Linked DNA regions of Oryzias latipes. The protein of the gene in region 1 binds, or shares a complex with, the protein of each later gene. Links are inferred from orthologs where the notes say so. Each region holds a gene or a part of one and is shown in the gene's direction. Other genes may lie near its edges.

What was found. Proteins that work in one complex are often made in the same cells at the same time.
Region 2: the proteins of bcap31 (region 1) and fis1 are in contact, whole or in part, in a crystal structure (PDB 8XWX), measured with the Homo sapiens proteins. The link is inferred for Oryzias latipes from reciprocal best matches to the Homo sapiens genes BCAP31 and FIS1. Residues at the interface, in NP_001132913.1 of Homo sapiens: Asp224, Leu227, Glu228, Ala231, Lys232, Ala235; in NP_057152.2 of Homo sapiens: Arg52, Val56, Glu59, Glu60, Pro63, Lys64, Lys89.

What each region holds. Positions count from the first base shown.
Region 1 is NC_019865.2:31,915,091-31,919,109, reverse strand, and holds the start of bcap31 (B-cell receptor-associated protein 31), read left to right. Parts: upstream 1-1,211; 5' UTR 1,212-1,342; intron 1,343-2,783; 5' UTR 2,784-2,791; coding exon 2,792-2,883; intron 2,884-4,019. UniProt on the Homo sapiens protein: Functions as a chaperone protein. Is one of the most abundant endoplasmic reticulum (ER) proteins.
Region 2 is NC_019876.2:17,585,883-17,590,130, reverse strand, and holds the start of fis1 (mitochondrial fission 1 protein), read left to right. Parts: upstream 1-1,448; 5' UTR 1,449-1,510; coding exon 1,511-1,555; intron 1,556-1,607; exon of another isoform or gene 1,608-1,795; coding exon of another isoform or gene 1,796-1,798; intron 1,799-1,939; coding exon 1,940-2,072; intron 2,073-4,248. UniProt on the Homo sapiens protein: Involved in the fragmentation of the mitochondrial network and its perinuclear clustering. Plays a minor role in the recruitment and association of the fission mediator dynamin-related protein 1 (DNM1L) to the mitochondrial surface and mitochondrial fission.

The sequences.
Region 1 (4,019 bases):
CACCTGGCTCAGGTCAACCTGGCGACCGGCAATGAGGGCTAGACACCGAAAGGGACTTCTCACACACTCAGACCTGGCGTTAGAGGGCCCTACACTGCTGGACCTCCCACCTGCGGAGCTGCGAGACCTGTCAGCGCGGACAGCAGAGCTTCGCTTTGGGGAGGAGGGTTTGAAGAAGCAGACCCTACAGCAGCTGGAGTCTCGCCGCCGTAGTGACGACGACGATCGCCTGGGATGCCTGGGGACCTTCTGCTGCTGGTGTGCAGCTCTTCACTTGGAGAGAGTCTACTCCCCCATGGTGACGTGCACCCTGATGGTGGTGCTTCCACGGAGGCGGGGACTGGTTCTCCTGGCTGGGCACATACTGGCATGGAACTGTGTCAGTTGCAGATGTGCTAACCCAGCCAGTTAAGAGGAGGACTGTACACGGTGGCGGTCGAAACCCAGGATTGTGCGAAGGAGTCTCCAGCCAGTGTGTTCCTGTGTTTTGCTAATTGTGTTGTGAAGGTTCAGCTGGGCTGCGCACCGTCATCACAGTCTGGTCCGGATGTTCTAACGTTGGTGCCGGGCAGGGCCAGGCTGCGGATGACGGTGGGTGCTCGATCCATCAGGGTGGTGTCATCGCCCTTACTCCTCCCTTGTCCCAGACTGCCACCAGGAACAGCTGCTCCGTCTCACCCTCCATGGAGATGCTCTCCATGTTGTAGCAGCGGCTAAGCAATCCCTCTTCTGACACCATTGTAACGATCCGGCCGGACCGTCACTTTAGTGGGGTAGCGAAAGCCAACTGCTCATGAAGAGGTTTTAATGGAGAGCTGTCCGTGCCCCATACACCGCACGACCCCGGACAGTCTCAGGTTGCAAGAAACGTAGAGAGAGGCAATATTAGCTTTTAAGCAACAAGCCTGTTTATTCCAGCACACATACAGCCCAAACAGCATGGAGGGTCACTTCAGCTTCCAGCCCTCTGACTCAATGTTTCACCCTAAGCTCCCCACTTCCCATGAGCCTTAGGGGCTGAAGGCGGGACTGACCCCCAGGTCGCTACAATACCATTAAACAAAATAATTGTATTAATTACTTTTATTAAATCTGACGCATTGACTCCATCACATATGACTATATATTTATTATATTTTATTGTCAATGTCCTCACGTCAACTGTAGAGTGCAGTTCCTCCTACTACATTTGAATCATCCAATCACGTTAGACGATGAGCTGGCATTAAAGAGCCGGAAGTGGACCGGAAGTTGTCACAACAGGCTAGCAGAGCAGCATTTACAAGCTTTTTTACGTCTCTTTGGGCAGGAAGGCATTTTTCTCTTGGTCTGTGTACTTGAGGTAAGTCTAGTCAGCCTTCTGATGGCAACCTTGTTCGGTAAAATGCGGAGTCATACCATTGTCGTCAGCGGCTAGCATGCTAGCAGCTGCCCGCCCGACTGCATTTCAAAACATCGCTTATGATTTGACAATAAAACGGCTTCTGCCGAGAGTGGACGGCGTCAGTGTCTTTTAAAAACAAGAAACATTCTAATCTCAAAGAAAGCCACGGTTTCCAATTTGGTTAAACGAAAAATAAAGGTCAGTTAACCAGTTTATGTACTAAAATATAGAAATCAAATTAAGTTAGACGCATTCCAGCAAATACACGGTCCCTAATCGTCTTGTGTTTAACGCGCATTTTTGCGGTGTAATAAAGAACAGCTAACAAGTTGGCTACCGCTACTTAATAAAATATTGTCTTCAGTCATTGGCCTCAGTCAGACTTTTAGGGGTTTGCAGAAACCATCTATTTTAATTTACAGCGAATGATGATCAAGATGAATCTTAACAGAGTAATCTAAGTCAGAGGACACAGCTGAGTGACGCCGGTTCAGATCGGCTGATTGCTGTCAGGCGCTGGTCTTAATCACGACTGATCGCTGCATCGTGACACAGCTGTCTGAAGCTGCCACGCCCCTCAGCACCAGAGCCCCCCAACTGGCTCCCCATCTCAGAAGAGTTTCCTCAAAAATACGCCGAGTTTCTGATCAGTCTCTGTCCAGCTGGACTCCTGTGAGGTTCTGTTGGTGTGGAACACTCCAGGAACTTTCTCCTCCCTGATGCTAACACACAGGCCGTGGAGCTGCCACAGGAAAGGAGTTTATTTTGACAGCCTGGTCAGGTCTGTGGTGAGGTCCAGTGTATTTTTGTTGTAGTTCAGGCTTTGGTCTCCACATCGACCACTGTATGCTGTTTATCTTGGTGAGTCGCTCCTCTGTCTCTCCTCCTATAGATCTGAGCTAAATGTTTCTGCTCATAGAGGAAACATCAGGATGAGCAGAAGGGAGTCAGGAGATAAGAGAAAACATAACTGCTCTGAGTCAATGGGACCTCTGAGTGGAGTTTAGACCATAGATATCAGCTCATCAAGACTAAAGTGTAGTTATGCTGAGATTAGAATGTAGAGCTGGAGATGCTGGAGGGCAAGTATGGATAACACCATAAAGCATATAGCTGTGAGCTTCTGGTGTGTGTAAAACAGATGACTAATCTGATGAAATCATCATCTGGAGGAAAGCTGATTGTGAAACATGGATTTCAGAATCAGGCTCAAATTGAACAGAAATGCTTCTTGTTTTCCGTTGTTTTAGTTTAGTTTAGTTTTAGTCTGGATGTGCATAGAAAGTCAAGATGCCTCCTGCTCTGAATGTGTGCTGTTGCTCTGTTGAGTATTCCGTTCTTGAACTTGTGTTTAACATGGACTCGATAAAGCACTCGCTCTCACTTGTCTTCTTCTCAGGAGTCAGGATGAGCCTCCAGTGGACAGCGGTGGCCACCTTCCTTTATGTGGAAGTCTTCCTCGTTCTTCTGCTCTGTATCCCCTTCATCTCCCCAAAGAGGTGAGTGCTCACCAGGACTGAACACCTCACCTGGACTTTATGATTTATTCCACGATCTTTATGATTTATGCCACGATCTTGTCTTCGGCTAATCCTTGTTCAGATATTTGTCACAATGAGCTCTGCTTAACATGGCCTGTGATGATTACCTCTTCAGATGAACAAATGGGTAAAACTACATTTAGGAGTTTTCTAAATGCAGTTTACCGGTAAGTCTTTCCAAATGCACTTTGTGTTACCCAAATGTAGAAAAACCTGTCCAAAGGCCCATGGCAGCGTTGGAGGCTGATCTAATCATAGAGTTCCTGTGTATGCATCTGAATGGGTGGATGTCATGATTCTTACGAACAACTTTTGAAGCTCCTTAGTTTTGAAATGATTCAGCAGAGCCAAGTCAGTCAAACCTTTTTTTTTACATCTCAACGACATCTGCAGACTGTCAGCAGCTGCAAACACAAAATTTCCTGCCTGGATTCTGCAGGCATGACCAGCTGATGTTTTCAGTCGTGGCAGACATCATAACGATAACCAAGCTCAGCATCAAAACAGAAACGTGACACAGAACCATGAAGGTGGCTGGAAAGTTCAGGCGGGTTGAGCTGCTTACTGGGTTTCTGTCCTCGCGTTTGTCTTTGAACCCATCCCCTGTGGACCTCTTCCCCTGCAGGCCACATTCTCTCTCTGTGGGGTTTCATTAAGCCGGAAGCTACAGACACACTGGGCTTCTGACGCGTGTTCAAGAACATGCTGTATGCATTTCGGTGTTCCCACTTGACAAGCAGGGAGGGGCTTCCTCCTCTTTTTCTGTTTTCTAGCGCATGTCCGCCACCGACATGAGGCTAGGTGCAAAATGTTGAAGCGGCGTGAATCTCGAGTTTGGGCATGAAATGGAAACGGTCTGGTTCCTTGCTAGTGTCCTTGCAATGGTGGATATGGATTCCCATCCTGTCAGGAGAGTGGCCCTGGTTTATGTTTATTTAAAAAAACCTAATGCAGGCTCGTCGTTGTGTCTGGGTTCACAACATAAACAAGTGAAGAATAACACAAATAAAACAATATTTAGAAAGAACTTTGTTTGTTTGTGCGCATCTAATGGGATTTCAACACAATCCTTTAAACGGCACCAACAGTTCAAA
Region 2 (4,248 bases), on another chromosome or scaffold:
CCATGTATGAGTCTGTGTCCTCACTGTGCAGCTCCTTCAGCGTCAGACTGAGACATCCTAAGTGTCTGAAGGAGCGACACCGCAGGTCGTTTCTACCTTCTGCCATCAGACTTTACAACCTTAGCTGCTCCCAGTGAACCACGTCAAACAACATCATCGACTCGATCCTATCTTACCCTGTGCAATAACCGATCATATGATCATCCTGTGCAATATTTTGGAAGGTATGTGTGTATATTGTGTATATAGGTGTTCATACTTATTCCATAGTCTTTTTCTTTTATATACTGCTCTCTGTTCCTGTACTGCTGCCGCAATAAGGAAATTTCCCCATCGTGGGACTAATAAAGGAATATCTATCCATCTATCTAAATGTTGCAGCAGAAATGGAAACTCATCAGACCAGACAATATTTTTCCAATCGTCTATTGTCCAGTTTTGGTGAATCTGTGTGAATTGTGGCCTCTGGTTCCTGTTCTTAGCAGACAGGAGTGGCCCCCGGTGTGGTCTTCTGCTGCTGTAGCCTATCTGCCTCAAGGTTGGACATGTTGTGCATTCAGCAAGGCATCAACAAGGTATTTCCACCCACAAAACTGCCGCTCACTGGATAGTTTCTCTTTTTCAGACCATTCTCTGTACATCATAGATATAGTTGTGGGTGAAAATCCTAGTAGACCAGCAGTTTCTGAAATACTCAGACGAGCCCGTCTGACACCAACAACCAATGCCACGTTCAAAGTCCCTCAATGACACTTCTTTGCCATTCTGATGCAGCAGGTCGTCCTGAGAGTGGATGTCGTCTAGTTCCTCCATGGCAACTTCCATATTGAAAAATGATGGCGACTGAATTGACTTCATTATGTTGGAACCAGAAGTAAAGTCATTTTCTGTGGGTGATGTCGCACTTCCTTTGAACACAGTCAAGTTCCAGGATACAGTCAATGTGTTTAACATTTTTATTTCATATAACATTTGCACCACTTTACACATATGTATTTTATATTATGGTACTCATTTTGATTCCAATGAATTTAAAATAATAAAAAATAAAATAAAGAAATTGAAAATAAAAAATAAATCTTTGCTAGAAATTACTGTGAATTTAATTACTGCATAATACTTTTCTGGGAATGAGCCAAACTAAACAATTAACATAAAATTCCACCACTGTAAAAGCCTATTTTTATTTTTAGATGTTATATAATAATAATAGTTTTATTTCTGTAAATATTTGAATTGAAATTCTCTCTGTGTTATTACATAACAATTGTCGTTTGAGGATATTGCGTAACACGCTTTTGTATTTTGTAGTAGTTGCCGGAAATGTTTATATTTTCCAAATTATTGTTATTATTATTTGCCTTTTTTGCTATTGAAGTTTGGCCTTATGTGTTTGGTCAGTCAGAAAAAATAAAATTATATCAGCATGGTGAAGTATTTTGGTACCGGTGACGTAATCTCGTGTCACGTGATTCAAAGTGGGCGGCCCTTTTCGTTGTTTTCCGGAAACATGGAGGCTGTTTTGAGTGATATAGTAGCTCCTGAGGACCTTTTGGTAAGTTTGTACATTGTCACACATATTTACTTTCCAACTGTGACGCCTAGAAGTGTGGTTAACTTTACTGACACCGACAATCCCAACATTGGTTAAAAGAAACTAGTACTTTAGCCAAATACAACGTTCCGACGTCAACCTCTGTTTCGTCACGTAGGCAGCTAATGCTAACATTTACGTTTGGGATCAAAACTGTCATCTCAACCGTTTTTCTGACGGCTGAAAAATACATTTTCATAAATGGTTGGTTTGGTTTATATTGATTTTTGATTTTGTCACGAGACAAAAGTGGTAATTTAAGCTTAAAAATGGAAACCTGAGGGTCTAGGTTTCATATTCGGGTCGTTGTCGTTCACATTCATGTTAAATATTTGTGTTTGACAGAAATTTGAGAAGAAATACAACAGTGAGCTCGACAAGGGGGCCGTCTCCAAGGACACGAAGTTTGAGTATGCCTGGTGCTTGATCAGGAGTAAATACTCGGGGGACATCCAGAAGGGAATCGCGTTGTTGGAGGGTAAGTGAAGGCAGCACGCCGTTATTTATCACATGTACATTTCCATTGATAGATGGATAGATAGATGGAAAATGGACGACTTATCTTTTACTTCAACTGCCAAGAATAGTTTTTGCTCTTGGTTATGCTTAAAAGTCTGTATTATTTGCCATTTAAAGTAATTAATTTCACTTATAAACTCCTAGTCATACTTTGTTGACATTTAGATTTTTTTGTTTTTTGTTGGAGAATTATGAAATATTTCTATATTAAACAACCCCCATCAATAAAAGAGTGGAAAACAGCTTTACTTTACTCTCTATTACAAAAAAAACAAGTTTCTTATTTCCAGAGATAAGGGATGTTCCCTGAAAGGACCGGAAAGTTCTTCACTGATTTTAGCCCATTGACTCTACACTCACGGGGTACTTCATTAGGCACACCTGCCCAACGGCTCGTTAATACAAATGTCTAAACAGCCAATCACACGGGAGCAACTCTGTGCATTATAGGGATGTAGACATGGTTAAGATGATCTGCTGCAGTTCAAACATCAGAATGAGGAAGAAAGATGATTGAAGGGTCTTTGAACATGGCATCGGTTGTTTGTGTCAGATTATGATTATTATTATGTTTATTTCAGAAACTGCTACCTTCTGAATGTTGCCACATTTGGATAGTAGGGTCAGAACTTGGCATCAACAACATGCAGGCATAAATCCAACTTGCCTTGTATCAACGGTTCAGGCTGGTGGTGGTGGTATCATGGTGTGGGGGATATTTTTCTTGGCACACTTTGAGCCCAGACTGAATATGTTCCTTTTTTGTCTTTTTTTTTAAAGAAAAACTCCAAATAATAATGTGACCATGCATTATTTAGAAAACATTTTAATTGATAAAAAATGAATAAAAAAAGTTTTTTTTATGAAAAAGCACAATTTTTATCGTTATATGAGAGGCAAAGATGAATATTCATTTTAAGGGGCAGATAGAAATCTGAATTTTAAATCTCATTGCACTTTTTTTTTACTGTACACATACATTGATGAAATCTCAACCCAAATGTATATTTAAATACTAAATTCAAGCACTAGAGGTAATAATGAAATAATATGTACGGTGGCCCAGAAGGGCCACAACACAACACTTTAGATTTCGCAACACAACACAAAATAACATACTACAATTCGTCACAACACTAAACAATAACTCACAACATTTTAACTCACTTCCTATTTGAGTTAAAATATTGTGACGTATTGTGTTGTGAGTTATAGTGTTGTGTTGTGAGTTATTGTGTTACAACGCCACAGCCTACCTGAGTATTGCTGTTGACCGTGTCCATCCCTTTGTGACCACAGTGTACCATCTTCTGATGGCTACTTCCAGCAGGATGAGGCGTCATGTCATAAAGCTGGTTTCATGTCAGACTGGTTTCTTGAACACGACAATGAGTTCATTGGACCCGAATCGTCTCCACAGTCACCAAATCTCAACCCAATAGATTAAGCTCCAACCCGGCCTAATAAATTGGCTGATGAGTGTACATGAGAACTTGACTGAGTGTGACATCATCCATAAAAAGAGGTTCACGTCCAGCTCCAACCATATGAAGTCAATTCAGTCCTCTGGTTTTTTTTTTTAGCAATATGAATGCCGCCATGTTGAAACCAGAAATCATGAGTAAGCCCTGATTGGTCTGAGCCGGTCTGAATCATTGTTTTTATGGCAACCAGTCTTCCAGTCAGAAGTGATCTTATTGGAAAGTCACACCCCTACCACTTAAAATACGGGCTCAGGAGAATCAATGATTCAATACGAGGCGGCAGACATCTGGTTGGTTCAGAACTTGAATAATTTCACTACGAAAAAATCTTAAAAAACACTCAGATTAGGATATCAGAGATAGGATGGTGATTGTGACAAATAGAATGACTATTAGCTGTTGATTCCTCCCTAGAAATCTATGGGACTTTGACTTTTTGGGACTTCCTGTTTGGAATGCGAGGGGGGAGGGGTCACTCTGTCCAGTTCTCATATACAGTCAATGGTTTGGCCTGAATCCTCTCAGGGAATAAGTCAACTGAATTAAAAGAAAAGATTAAATAAATATCCACTAAGGCAGATGGTATATAAATGGTCTGGTTCTTGTGAGGATTTTTTTCCAGCATTCATGGCAGAAACGCTTTTATTTTTC